Caenorhabditis elegans: one gene and its partner. The protein of the gene in region 1 interacts with the protein of each later gene in a pairwise test. Each region holds a gene or a part of one and is shown on either strand. Other genes may lie near its edges. The genes, in order: unc-17 and sup-1.

The links.
Region 2: the proteins of unc-17 (region 1) and sup-1 interact in a protein complementation assay, tested with the Caenorhabditis elegans proteins (one study listed by BioGRID).

Annotation. Positions count from the first base shown.
Region 1 is NC_003282.8:3,618,455-3,626,661, reverse strand, and holds the start of unc-17 (Vesicular acetylcholine transporter unc-17), read left to right. Parts: upstream 1-1,962; 5' UTR 1,963-2,030; intron 2,031-3,176; 5' UTR 3,177-3,190; coding exon 3,191-3,679; intron 3,680-5,344; coding exon 5,345-5,624; intron 5,625-7,332; coding exon 7,333-8,162; 3' UTR 8,163-8,207. UniProt on the Caenorhabditis elegans protein: Involved in acetylcholine transport into synaptic vesicles.
Region 2 is NC_003281.10:11,732,763-11,739,728, forward strand, and holds sup-1 (Protein SUP-1), read right to left. Parts: upstream 4,866-6,966; 5' UTR 4,852-4,865; coding exon 4,750-4,851; intron 4,705-4,749; coding exon 4,588-4,704; intron 1,180-4,587; exon of another isoform or gene 1,057-1,179; intron 996-1,056; coding exon 903-995; 3' UTR 583-902; downstream 1-582. Other genes in the region: Y41C4A.21 (UPF0506 domain-containing protein), read left to right, coding at 1-11. UniProt on the Caenorhabditis elegans protein: May be involved in trafficking or stabilization of the vesicular acetylcholine transporter unc-17.

The DNA of each region.
Region 1 (8,207 bases):
TAGTGCGTGTGAATGACTAGACGCTGAAGCTAACTTGGTTTCCGCGAACAATCCCAATCAGTGCCTGTGCCGAGGCTTCGGAGAAGAAGAGATTGACGTCGTCTTTTTCTTTTTTTGTGAAACAGAATAAAAAAGAATACGAAATGGACTTTTTCACACATTTTCGTTACTTTTCCAGAAAAAAACGAAGCTCTAGCCATGGAAGTTTGAATTGAAAACCTAAACCCCGATGTGTATTCATTTGAGCTTAAGCCTAAGCCTAATTCTACGCCTAAGCATAAGCCTAAGCCTATGTTCAAGCCTAAGCCAAATTGTAGAACGTTACCAAAAGATCAAACCTATTTTTCCTACAGAAAAGGTCTAATGATAACTGTTAAGCGAGAGACAAGGAGAGATATATATCAAAAACTAGCCCAAACTGTGATTAACATCTATTAACTGACCTCAAAAAAAAAAATAGTAGAGATTAAATACTGCTCAAAAAGTTTCTTGGAAAAGTAAATTGTTAGGTTTCTGGGGCCTGTAAAACTGGACCGAGTTTTGAAGAATTTTTTTAACTTTTCAAAGTTTGGCGTCACTGAAAGCTTTATATTGTACATGTTCCACCAATTTTCTTTTGTATCCGTTTTTTCTGTCTCAAAACGGAGCTCGAGCCCATGACGTGTGGATACCGTGAGAATCCGCCCAATTCCTTCACATCGATCTCATATTTCTTTCCCAGTTTATATTGAATTCCCGTTGAATTGCGGCTTTGCAGGGGAGAAGATGTGCGTCTTTATATTTTTTTTTCTATCCTTACCCGCCGTGAATCCGGCTCGAATTGAGCCAATTTTTATGAATAGTAGAGCTAATTGACTTCGTCTCCCTAGAATTGATGAGGTAAAGCTCGTGGGGAGATATGGAGATTTTTCGATTTTTTTTCCAGTAATTTTCAGTTCAAAATTTGAGCTTTTGAGCAGGAGTTTTGAGATTTGTGCCAAAATTTCCTATTATTTTTTCAAATATTTTTGCTTTTGTAAAAAAGGTGTAGTAGAAGTTTTGTAGTGCCACTATTTTTTTTTTGAAAATTATGTTTTGGCGGAAAGTTCTTTAAAAAAGTTAATCAAAATTTTTGGCGCTTTAGTCAAATTAATTTTCTGGCAAAAATATTAGTAATTTTGGCGTGAGTTCAATTTTCCCATTCTTAAAATTTCACACAATTAAGAATTTTAAGATTTGGGTTTTTTTTTCAACAAAAAATCAAATATTTACATGAAAATTCGGCGGGAAATAAAAAAAAATATTCCGATTCAATGTGTGAATAACTTTTTGCGGGGAATTCAAATTTGCATTATTTAAACTTTTTTTAAGCTCGAAAAATTGAAATTCTTAAATAAATAAATAAAATTTTCCTCGAATTTTGAATGTTTCGATTTTTTAGCGTTATTTTTTCAAAATTTCCACTAAAACTCTAGTTCTAAAGTTCTAAAACTTTAAAAACTTCCTAATGTTGTGGTCTTGTGTTTTTTTGGCAGCGATTTCCAAATTTCTGAAATTCCAACAAAAAAACCACTACGTCAGTTTGCATATCCAACCCCCCCCCCCCCCCCCCCCCCTCTGAGCCAATCAATCATGTGCATTTTGAATTGGCGCCAAGGCAATCTTCGTAAAAAATAACAATAGAGTCATCCCTCAGAACAGAAAAGAAACCCGCCCGGGGGCTCAAATACACATGTCATTTTTCTTTTTTCGCCTGATTTTTAGCCTAAATTAGTGTTTAGCAATTTTTTAAGGTAACTCGGTGGAGTCATTTGAACTTTTTAAACTAAAATTTCAGAAAAAATTCTTTTTTTTTGTCAAAAAATAATTTTCCCGCCGGAATTTTTCAAAAAAATAATTTTTATTTTATTTTTCAAGTTCCTTGTTTCCTCTTTATTTTTTTATTTTGCCCCCAAAAGTTTTACACTAAAATATTTAATTTTCAGGTAATTCATCGAAAGTCTTTCTATTTTCCGCATCTCTTGTTCAAAATAGTAACCTACTAAAACAAGGTGAGCCTAATTTTTTTTAAATACTGTATTTCCAAAAAGTAGTCATAAGATATATTATGAAAATTTTCAAGAATCTTCGTACAATATTTTGGCAGAAAATTTGAATTTTGAAATTTTTTGGTAAATTTTCCTGGAATATTTGAAATTAATTTTTGGCGCCAGTTTCAAAACATAAAATTTAGAATTTTTTTTAAGTTTTGAAAAAAATTTTTCAACAAATTTTGGCGGTAATTTGTGAATTTCTTTTTTTTTAAACATATTTCGAAAAAATTATTTTGACATAATTTTTTCAATAAAAAAATTTGCACAAAGTTTAAAATAAGTTGTTCAAAAAATTTTCTAGAATCTCGATTTAAAAAATTTCTGACGAATATGCCGCAAACTTACATATTAGAAAAAAAATTGGCGGGAAATAAAAGAACACAGAATTTTTCATAAAATTTTAAATAATTTGGCGCAAAGTCTAAAAATTGTTCTGAAAAAGATGTTTTTTCGACAAAATTCGAATTTATCAATTTTCTAAAAAAATATTTCCAAAGAAAGAGTTTAGCGCGAATTTGAAATTTTTGAAAAAGTGACAGTTGTCATACTCAATTATTTGCAAAAAATTTTTAAATAAGACAATTGGCGCGAAGTTCAAAAATTCCAGAAAAAATTTTGCGCAAAAGTCAAAATTTTGAGAGTTTTTGGCGCGAAATTCATATTTTTCAAAAAAAAATTGGCGGGCTATACAAAAATTCAAAAAAATTCGGCAAAAAATACAAAATTTTTAACATGTTCAACAACTAAACCACCAAGAAGTTCCTCTTTAAAAAAATTTCCAAAAATTACAAACTCCTCCTGTATTACCTGTATTTCCACTACCTTTCTTATATTAATTTTCTCAATTTTCTCCTGTATTTCTCTGTCTCTCCCCTCCCCAACAAGCCTTATACGTGTGTTTTTCCTCAAAACTGGGCGTGGTCTCGGCGGCCCTCTGGCGATCTGTGTCTCCCCTAAGTCTCTCTCTCCCCCATACAATGGGTCTCACGGCTCTGTTACGCGCCGAGCCACGTCATAAGTTTTCTTTAAATTTTTTTTTGTTTGAGAAAAAGCCCCTAGGCCAGCCCGAAGCCCAAAAAATTTAGAAAAAATAAAATATTCCAGGGGGAGAGAGAGAGATGGGCTTCAACGTGCCCGTCATCAACCGAGACTCGGAGATCCTCAAAGCGGACGCCAAAAAGTGGCTTGAGCAGCAGGATAATCAGAAGAAATGCGTCCTGGTGATAGTCTCCATAGCCCTACTACTCGACAATATGCTCTACATGGTCATTGTCCCAATTATTCCGAAATACCTTCGGGACATTCATAACTACCAGGTGACCTTCGAGGGATACCACAATGAGACAAGCCAGCTTGCAAACGGGACCTATCTGGTAAGAGAGGTCGGCGGAAGGATTAACTTTTTGGATGAGGAGCTGGAATTGGGATGGCTCTTCGCTTCAAAAGCTTTGCTGCAAATTTTTGTGAATCCGTTTTCGGGATATATTATCGATCGAGTTGGATACGAGATTCCGATGATTTTGGGGCTATGCACCATGTTTTTCTCCACGGCTATATTTGCTCTTGGAAAGAGCTATGGAGTTTTGCTTTTTGCAAGATCGTTGCAGGTTAGTTTTTTTCTTTCTTTTTAAGAATAAAGTGTTAAGCAGACAAACTGTCAGCTGACTTTAAAACTATAGAAAAAAACCGCTGCTCAACTTTAAATTCATCTAAAAAAATATTTTTTTAAGTATCAAATTGTTCTGGAAGGTTTTTAGACTTTTTGAAGCTTCTGGAAATTTCAAGAAATTTTTGGATTTTTTTCAGAATTTTCTGGAGAAACTTTTAATGTTTTTGAAAAAAATTCCTGATGTTTAATCATCGAAATTTTCTAATAGCTACAAGAAATTTAGAGGTTTCGGAAAATTGTCCAGAGTCTTCAAAATGTCTAGAATTTTCAATTTTATACTACTTCCTAAAACGTTCTGGTTCAGAAATGCCTAAAATTTTTGTTTGAATCTTTTCAAAAACACTCTAAAGCTTTCTGGAATATTTTAAGATTTTTTCAAACCTTCCCTAGTTTTCTAGAAAATTTTAAAAAGCTTCTACAAAGTTCTGGAAATTTGTAAAAAATTTTTAAAAAATTAAAAAGTTTTTAACGTCTCAGAAAATTGTGAACAAATTATTGAAATTTTTTAAAGACTTTAAAAAATTCCAAATGGCTTCAGAACATCTTAGAAAATTAAATAAAATTCTGGGAAATTCTAGAATTTTTTTTTAGTTTTAGAAAATTTCCCCATTCCTGGCATTAAATCTTCCCCCAACGCCAACTTTTTCCCAAGAAAACTTCAACTCGCCGAGCAATTTAATTTGGTTCCTCTTCCTGCTCCTGCCATCTTTCCAATTTCTTACGAAAACCGGTCATCATTCTGTATATAAAATTCGAATCTTTTCCCTTCCATTTTTTTCGCGTTGCTCTTCTAATGTCGGAAACGGAAAGGATTTCTGAAATGCTCTGCGGCTCCGAGTCTTTTCGCACTATTTCCCAGCCGGGCGTCGAACGACTTCGTGCTAATTAACAACAGCAAAGAAGAAGCTGGCGAAAAGAGAAGGAGCTCGCAGAGCAGTAGGAAAATGAGATGGTCCCGGGTGATAAGTACGTCCCCCTTTCGGTGTCCCCTGGGACAGGCGGGGACATCTCCGTAGGTGGTAACATGGACAAATTGGAGATGGAAAGTAGAGGAGAAGAAGTTGTTGGGAAAAGTTTTCAACAAAACTTGGAAGAATTTCAAAATCGGAGCCATGGAGAAGTAGAATCCCTAAACAAAATCTAAAATAATCTAAAAAATTGTGAAAATTCTAGAATGTTCTTGAAAACTTTGAACATCCATTAAAAAGTTGCTGATTTTTCTTTAAACAATTCTGGAATTTAGAAAAATTTTTAAAAAATTTATAGAACTTTTTAGAAAGCTTCAAAAACCTCTGGAAATTCTGGAAACTTTTTGGGATATTACCTGGGAGTTCAGGAAATCTTAGAAAATTTAGAAAAAATTCTGGAAATTTTCGATAATTTTAGAGAGTTTTAGAAAATATTGAATAGCTCTCAAAATTGAAGAGAATTTAGAAATGTTCTAGAAAGTTTCTGGAAATATCAACAAATTTGTGAAAATTCCTTGAATTTACTGAAGTTTAAGGAGTTTTTAAGAGATTTTCAAAGACGTCGGCAATATTTGTATAAATTTCAAAACTCTTAAAAACTGAAACTTTTTGAAAATTTCTAAAAAAAATTTCAGGGCTTCGGCTCAGCGTTCGCCGATACTTCCGGTCTTGCCATGATCGCCGATCGATTCACCGAAGAAAACGAGAGATCAGCGGCACTTGGAATCGCCTTAGCCTTCATCTCGTTCGGGTGCCTAGTTGCTCCACCATTTGGCTCCGTATTGTACTCACTCGCCGGAAAACCCGTACCTTTCCTGATTCTGTCATTTGTCTGTTTGGCTGATGCTATTGCAGTTTTTATGGTGATCAATCCCCATCGGAGAGGCACTGATTCTCATGGAGAGAAGGTTCAAGGTATGGGTTATACGTTTAAAAATTTTAGGATTATTAAAAGTGGTGTAGTCGAAATTTTTTATTGATTTACTAGACTCAAAATTGTCTGAAAACACCGAATTTCATAATGAAACTTCTTTAAAACTTTTCAAAAAAAAAGAGGTTATGTTGGCTTAAAAATTAACCAACAAAGAGTTAAAATTTGAAATTTCGCCAACTTGTCAACGTCGCAGCAGCTGGGAACTAACTTTTTTGAAATCACCAATATACTTTTGATAAATAAGTCAACTATCTTGCTTTTCAAATCAATTTAGGCGCATTTAATGTCGATGGATCACCAGAAGTTACCAAATTTTGCCAAATCTGGTGATCCATATGTTCCTTAAATGTTCCTAAATCGAATATCAACTTGTGTATCCAAAATTAGACGGTGATTTTAAAATAAGTTAGTTTCCAATCGTTGCGACATTGACAAACCTGTCAAATTTGAAATTGTAACAAGTTTTACGTCATTTTTAAGCCGCCATAACTTTGTTTTGAGAAGAAGTTTCATTATGAAATTCGGTGTTTTCAGACACAGTTTAAAGTTTAAAAAAGCAATAAAAAATGTCCACTACACCGCCTTTAACGTCTAAAAAAGCCGAAGAGTTTAAAAGAATGCTAAAATGTTCAGCTTGTCGGTTCCTTTCAGCAATTTTGACAATGTTCTTTTCTAGAAACTTCCGCAGTAAAATAATTAAGATTTTGAGAACTTTTAGACGCTTTTCAAATTTTATAATATTTTGAAAATTCAGCGCCCTGATCATTTTTAGAACTTTCAGTACACAGAAAGTTCATTTCCGATAACTCAGCGATGTTACAGTTATCAAATTGGAAAATTTTTCAGTTTTTTCTGCAATTTTCAAGGCTTTCTCGGCGATTTCAGAGAAAAATTGTGAAGAATTTGAATGTGACAAATCTCATATATTTTCGACAGCTCGATGGTATTTCAGTTCTTAAATTTGAGAGTTTTTCGGAAAATTTTGATTTCATCTTCCAGAATTAGACATTTCCTCATCAAGGTCCGAACCGAGCTTTCCAAAAATATAAATTTAGCACTTTCGGCATTTTAAGCGATTTCGGCAACTTACTAAAAAAAACTTTGAAATTTTAAGAAAAATTATTACCACAATGTCCGACTCTACAACTTTCAAACAGATAGAAATTTACTCACTAGGGAATGGTCAGCTTAGGGGTGAGGTACCTAGAGACGCCACATATGCCAAACGGAAGCTGAGATCATTGGCTACAAGAATATGCTTTCAAATTCTGCAACGGACCTCTGGGAGTCTGGAAATTCTTGTCTGAAATTATGCTTTTGAATGCTCGAAAGTGGTAAGAATTTAGAATTTATTACAGAAAAACGTTTAATTAATAAAATTAGTTTTATACTTGAAACAAGTACTGTATGCACTGTATCAAAACACATTTTCATCTTTTCTAGGTATTCAACTTCACGTTTTTCTGTAATAAATTCTAAATTCTTACCACTTTCGAGCATTCAAAAGCATGATTTCAGACAAGAATTTCCAGACTCCCAGAGGTCCGTTGCAGAATTCGAAAGCATATTCTTGTAGCCAATGATCTCAGCTTCCGTTTGGCATATGTGGCGTCTCTAGGTACCTCACCCCTAAGCTGACCATTCCCTAGTCAAAACGGTACCTGCCCAAACTCAAACGTTTCTTTCCAGGAACCCCAATGTGGCGTCTCTTCATGGATCCCTTCATCGCTTGCTGCTCCGGAGCCCTCATCATGGCCAACGTCTCTCTCGCCTTCCTCGAGCCCACCATCACAACCTGGATGTCCGAAATGATGCCAGACACTCCTGGCTGGTTGGTCGGAGTCATCTGGCTCCCACCATTCTTTCCACACGTTCTCGGAGTCTATGTGACCGTCAAAATGCTCAGGGCGTTCCCCCACCACACATGGGCGATTGCTATGGTTGGGTTGGCTATGGAGGGAATCGCGTGTTTTGCAATCCCCTATACCACATCGGTGATGCAACTTGTCATCCCGCTCTCTTTTGTATGCTTCGGAATCGCCTTGATCGACACCTCGCTCCTCCCGATGCTTGGACACCTTGTGGACACCCGCCACGTTTCGGTTTACGGATCCGTCTACGCGATCGCTGACATTTCGTACTCGTTGGCTTACGCCTTTGGACCCATCATTGCCGGATGGATTGTGACCAACTGGGGATTCACCGCCCTCAACATCATAATCTTCGCCACCAACGTCACCTACGCCCCAGTTTTATTCCTACTGCGGAAAGTTCACTCCTACGACACCCTCGGCGCCAAGGGTGACACCGCCGAAATGACACAGCTCAACTCATCGGCTCCAGCTGGCGGATACAATGGGAAGCCTGAAGCAACTACAGCGGAATCCTATCAAGGATGGGAAGATCAGCAGTCGTACCAGAATCAGGCACAGATCCCGAACCACGCCGTGTCGTTCCAGGATTCAAGGCCCCAAGCCGAATTCCCCGCCGGATATGACCCACTGAATCCGCAGTGGTAGTCGTAGATTTGGATCTCTGAATATGTTTATTCTACCAAGTGCAAT
Region 2 (6,966 bases), on another chromosome or scaffold:
CGATCATCTAGTGTATCATTGGATGCATGTGCTATTGCTGCAGAAAGTAGTTGGGGGTACATCGAACTACTTGGAATTTTTGTAAAGAATATAATAAAGTGATTAAAGATTTGGTGGACAGGAGGGTGTCGGCTGCTTAGCATGTTGGCAATCCCGTGAAAAGTCGGCTGCAACAAAGGTGGCTTATAAAACGTCCGCTCTTTAACTCAACAGTTTTTCTGACCCGTGAGGTACCGGCTGCATTTTAGCTGTCCCGCGAGGTGTGGGCAGCAGCTAAAGTTACCCATTTTTTTTGGAATTTTTTGGAATATCGAATTTTCAGAATGTGACAATTGTTTTGAAATTATCGATTTTTCGGAATTTATCGATTTTTCGGAATATCGATTTTTCAGAAATTTTTATTTTTTGGTATTCAACAAGTTTTTATGGAATTAATTGTTTTCTTGCTGAAATAATATATTTTTCGGAATTCAGAGATTTTTTTGGTATTTCGATAAATCTGGAAAAATCGATAAATTCCGAAAATTGATAATTTTTTCGATTTATATTTATCGATTTTTTCCCAGAAATGTGAAATTGATATGTATTTTCAGAATTTTATTTCATAAAAAAATAGCAATTAATACAGAAAATTCGATAAAAGGTATTGTGGAAAAAGTACATGTTTGGAAAGCTTTTTGTTAGCAAATTTTATATAAATGCAATATTTTGTGACCGAGGGAATTATGCGAAACGGAAGGGGGGCGAAAGATTTTGAAAAATCGATTCTAAAAATATAAAACAAAAAAAAAATTGAGCCAAAGTATATAATTTTAAAAAATGTGGGCGGAGCTTAAAATGGGAATAAATCGAGTATCGGGAAATTAAAACTAAATTGGTTGGAGGTGTACATATCGATTTTTCTACTTGCGGCAGCAGATGCAACGGACAAGGGAGATGACGAAGGAGGCGATGAAGATGACTCCGAACAAGGCGAGGGTTACCCAGACCCATGTCTGAAAAAATTTATTTTTTTGAAAATATTTTGAAATGTGTTTTTTTTTAACTTTGTAACAAATATCTCAAAAATGGCAAGAGCTATAAAAAAGTTATAAACTAGCAAACTGTAGAAAATTAAATTTCCTACATTTTCTTAGTTGACAACTTTTTAATAGCTTTTGCCATTTTTGAGATATGAAAGCGCACAGGCAAAATTTCAAAAAAAAGCCTATGCCTATAAACCTATGCCTATGCCTAAGTCTAAGCCTAAGCCAAAGCCTAACCCTCTTAAAAAGTTACAAGAAGGTTTTTCCTTGCGCTTGGAGCGCAAAAGAAAAGAAAAAGAGCTATTTAGACTTAGGGTGCCCAACTGGAATAAAATATTGGAAATCCTTGACACACCGGCGGTATGGCGCGGCTTAAGCCTAAATAGCCACTTTTATCAAAATACATTTGAGCGAGGCGGTTGTAAACTATTCGTTTTTTAGCAAAAATAAAAAAAAACTTTATTTAAATTTAAAAATAAATATCATATGTTATCACACCTTAGAATATCCCGCCTTAATTTAGTAATCATTTTAGTTCATAAGTGTGAGAGAAAGAAAAATGGATTAATCATCGGAATTAAATATCATCAGAGTGATTATATTCATCAAAGGTCCCACTTTACTTGAGGGTTAACTTGATCGATATAAAATTCCTATCTCATGTGAAGAAAGGTTCAAATTCTGTACCTATGAATGCTGCCGATATTTGAATTCCTGTCTCATGGGAAGAAGGTCTTTCTTGTGGAAAGAACGGAGTTATAAAAAAATTTACGCAGGTACAGAATTTGAACTTTTCTTCCCATGAGATAGGAGTTTGTATATTGGCATTCTATAACTTTACTTTAAAAAAATCTCCAAAGGTTGCTCGCAAATATGTAGAGATTGCTCGCATCCCTTCAAATATTACAAAATTTCCAAGTTTCTTAGAAATAATCTTCATTTGGATTACTGAAAAATATCCACAGACTACTTTTGAGTTGCCTGAGAAGTTAGAGTAAAACGCAAAGCGAGCTCAAATGTATTTTGATAAAAGTGGCTATTTAGGCTTAAGCCGCGCCATACCGCCGGTGTGTCATAAGGATTTCCAATATTTTATTCCAGTTGGGCATCCTAGTATGTTTTTCGGGCCCTTAGGCTTAAGTGTGTCATAAGGATTTCCTATATTTTATTCCAGTTGGGCACCCTAAGTCTAAATAGCTCTTTTTCTTTTCTTTTGCACTCCAAGCGCAAGGAAAAACCTTCTTGTAACTTTTTAAGAGGGTTTCATATATTTTATTAAAATCGGGGCGAAGCCCTGATTTTAAATCCATATTGTTTTTTTTTTGTCTTCCTCTAGCCCTGCAAATAGGAAAGAGAATGTGTTCTTTCTCATGAAGTAAAAATCATCATAAAATCTTGAAAACTGAGAGCAGGAGGTAATATTTGAATATATTGGGTTGTAAATGTGTGTCTCGATGTGGGTGGGGTGGCGATGTGTCGGCAGCCAACCCTTCAACGAACTGTTTCTCCCGCCTGTATCTCCCTTCAAAGTGAGAATTGAGTTACAAAAATTTGAGGGAATATGAAAAGGTGTAAGGATTTCAAAAATATTAATTTTGAAACACCAGACCAAACCACTTTTTCTGGGCAAGAGGCAAAAAATTAATTTTTTGAAAAAATTTCAAACTGGCACAAAATTTTTTCAAAAATAAATTTTTCACAAATTGTTAGTAGATTTCATTTTTCATAAATATTGTTCATTGAACACAAAAAAGAAAACAAAGATTCATTAAAAAATGAGTGAAAAATCGCAAAAATTCGAAAAAATCAGTGCTGAAAAACTCGATTTTTTGGCGGTGCTGAAAAAAATTTTCACTAAAATTTTTTTGAAACTTAGTTTTTCGGATTTAGCGTCAAATTTTAAATCTATATAAAAAAACAAAATTGAAATTGATTTCAGATTGAGTGAATAATAAACGCTCAAAGTTGAAAAATGAACAACGCAAAAACGGCAGTAACTTGCTTCAAGGTCGGTTATCTCAGTGAGTTTTCACTCAATTTTCGAAATTTTTTTGCTTTATCGCTTTAGAAATATTTGTAATTTCATTTTTTTTCCTCAAAATCAAAATATCTCAAACGACCGCCATCCTACGAGAAGGGAAAAAAAAAGTTTTTGGAAAAAAAATCAAAAATTTTTTTTCTGCCTCGATTTTCAAAATGAAAAAATCACTTTTTCGGAATAATTTTTACTTTAAAATGTACCTACGATCTTTTTATACAACAATTTCACCTTGGAACCAAAGATTTCTCAAAGACAACAGCGCACGAAGCGGTGGTTTGCGAAAAAACACGAAAAAAACACACCGAAGTGGGAGGGGGGAGGTCAAAATTGCGAATTTGACTTTGGAGCTCTCTAAAAGAGCTCATAGCTGATGGATCTGGACGATTTGTATGTTTTTCGACGCATCTCGTCGAGTACTATAAACTGCTAAAAAATCTCGTAAAAATCGCAAAAACTCGAATTTTCCTGCAAACAAAAGAGGCGAAAAATGAGAAAAAAAACGTGATTTTTGGAGAATACTCGAAAATACTCTTCATATCTCGGCTCAAATAGCTCCAATCTTTCTGAAATAAAGCATACAGAGATGGGGCAAGCTTCTTGAAGAGACAGCAAAAAACCGCATCAAAATCCATCCACCCACCGTCAAGTTACACGCGCGTTTTCAGAGCGAACGAAAAACAGGGCATAAAAAAATTTAGACGCCCGCACCCGGACTCGAACTTTTGTCGGATTTTGAAGCTTAATATCTCGGCTCCTGTAAATCGAAATTGGCTCAAAATTTACAAGAAACCTTATCCTGCTACGATCCTCCTGTCATTAAATTTTCGTGAGCTTAGACCGAAAACTGACAAAACGCCAAACTTTCAAATTTTAAAAAATAGTTGAGGGTCATTTTGAAAATACCTTAAGCTCCATAACTCGGCGAGTTTTGATGGAATCAATTTGAAATTTTACACGGAAGCTTCTTAGTGGCCTATACGTCTCTGTGTTAAATTTCGCTTTGATCGGCCAACGGGAACCCTTTGAAAAATGAAAAAAACGCTGTAATCCTAACCCTAAATGCTAACGCTCCCCCACTGACGCCAAACCTAAGTCTAACACCATTAAATTCCCGAAAAAATGCCGAAAAATAAAAAATTGGCAAACAGACAAATTTTTAAAAAGTCTCGAGAGCCATTTTGAAAACACCTTAAGTTTCTATCGAATCAACCTGAAACTTCAGAAGCTTTTTGGTGACCTACACGTCTCTCCGTAAAAATTCGCGTTGATCGGCCAACAGGAACCCCTTGAAAAATCAAAAAAAACCGGAAAATCGTAAGCTTAAGTAGCTAACGCTCGCCACTGACGCCAAGCCTATGGCTAAACCTAAGCCTAAGCCTGAGACTAAGCTCTACCCTAACCCTAACCCTAAGCCTAAGCCTACGCCTAAGCCTAGGCCTAAGCCTAAGCCTAAGCCTAAGCCTAAGCTTAAGCCTAAGCTAAAGCCTGAGCCCGGAAATTAAACTTCTTTCAAAACTGTACCTGGAGGTTAAAGCAGCATTCCTTGTTGAGTTCTCCACAGCATTTCCAGTAGTGGAAGATGCTAGAGGTTCCGCATTTGGTTCCGACCAATGGTACCGGGCAATATGTGTCTCCGTCCTAGAATTTTTTAGAAATTTTGAAGATATATAAGAGGAAAAGTACCTTTGTAGTGGTGACCTCATTCACTGCACTTTTCACGTCGTGGTCCACGTTGGCAGCCATTGCGAGTCCAATGCACGCGGCGAGTGCGATGTAGGACATCATTTTGATAGGTTAAGCTGGAATTTTGGATTTTAGAATATTGTGCAAAACGAAAAGCGTTTGGAATTCTTAGGGAGAGAAAAAAAATTAGAAATTTTGGCGGGAAATTGATATTTTATGAGAAAATCTTTGGCGGGAAACTTAAATTTTCTCATAAAACTGTGGCTCGGAACTAAAATTTTCAATTTAAAAATTTGGCGAGAAACTCAAGTTTTTTGAAAAATATTTCTGGCGGGAAATTCAAATATTCTCAAAAAAATCTTCGGCGGGAAATTCAAATTTTCTGACAAAAAATGGAGGGAAATTCAAATTTTATGAGAACATCTTTGGCGGGAAATTCAAATTATCTCTGAGAAAATTGGAGGGAAATTTAACTTTTCTTAGAAAAATTGTTGGAGGGAAATTCAAATTTTCTGACAAAATCTTTGGCCGGAAATTGAAATTATCTCCTAACAAGTTTGGCGGGTAATTCAATTTTTCTGAGAAAAAAATTGGCGGGAAATTCAAATTATTTCATAAAAATATGGCTAGGAATTAAAATTTTCTTTTTAAAAATTTGGCGCGAAATTTAAATTTTCTGAGAAAATCTTTGGCGGGAAATTCAAATTTTCTGACAAAATCTTTGGCCGGAAATTCAAATTTTTCAGAAAAATTTTGGCGGGAAATTCAAATTTCCTGAGAAAAAATTGGCGGGAAATTCGAATTTTAACGAATTTTAAACGAATTTCAACGAATTTAACGAATTTTAAAGTAGCTATAAAAACGTATTAACAAATAAATTATAGAAAATTTTATGTACAATAACTTTTCGGTAAGAAATTCTGGTTTACACCCAGAAATCCAAGATTTCCAAAACAACAACTACCACAGGAAAATAAAGAAAAAAAATAGGGAAAAAAAGAAAGTTGTGGTGTCGGGAAGGGGAGGAAACAAAATTTGAAGTTAGCCATCCGTCGGTTGGTAGTTTCGGAAAAAAAGAGAGATAATTTCACAAGATTGTGCGTGTGGATGACACGAGACATTGTGTCAACCGAAGAGATGCAGAAATTGGGGAGGAGGCGGTCAGAGATTAAAGGGAGGGGACCCAAATGTGCTTTCTGGTCTTTTTCTTTTTGTGACAGAGGGCGCTTCTTTTAACAGATAGTACTTATCAAAACGATGACGTCACGGGGGTGGTATATCACGAGAATTTTTGGAAAAAAAAAGGGGAAAGGGAAATTAAAAACCGGTATTTTTGTTTATGTTGTTTTGGTCATTGACCAGTTACATAAATTATAATATATGTTTTTTTTTTTGAAAAAAAAAATTAAATTTATTAACCAAAAGTACAACAACTTGGAAACAAATTTGAAATTCAGATTTTTTCTAGAATTTTAGAAGATTTTATAAAATTTTTATGGAAGAAAAAAAAACTTTAGAAATCTGAAAAAAAAATCTAATTTTTTTTGGAAGCTTCAGAGCAGTGGTGGGCGGCAAACGATTTTTCCGGCAAATCGGCAAATCGGTAAACTGCCGGAAATGAAATTTCCGGCAAACCCGCAAATTGCCGATTTGCCGAATTAGCCTAAAATTCTCGGCAAAGAATGGTATTGCACATTTTTGTTTTTAACACTGCAACTTTTTCCTCACGAGGGACGAGGCAAAAAGGTTTCTAGGCCTTGGCCGAGTCCCCGACAAATTTCAGCGGCCATTTATCTTGCTTTGTTTTCCGCCTGTTTTCTTTTGTTTTTCACCAATTTTTTCCGTTTTTTCTTATTAAAACTATTAAATAAATATTTTTTGCAGATGCTAAAACAATTTCCAAGTAAAAAAATTATGTATTCAGTGGGCAAGTAGCGGTGAAAGTGGTCAATGTAATATGATGGATTACGGGAATACCAAACCTAAACTTTTTTCCAAACATGATACATATGCTGCTTAAATGCTGAAACTACTTGATTTTCATAACGAGACCGCTGAAAAAGTTTTGGGGTTTTCAAAATTCAACTTTTTTGGTGAAAAAGTAGAGATTTTCGCACAAAATGTTGAATTTTAAAAATCTCAAAACTTTTTCAGCGGTCTCGTTATGAAAATCAGGTAGTTTCAGCATCTAAGCAGCATATTTATCATGTTTGGAAA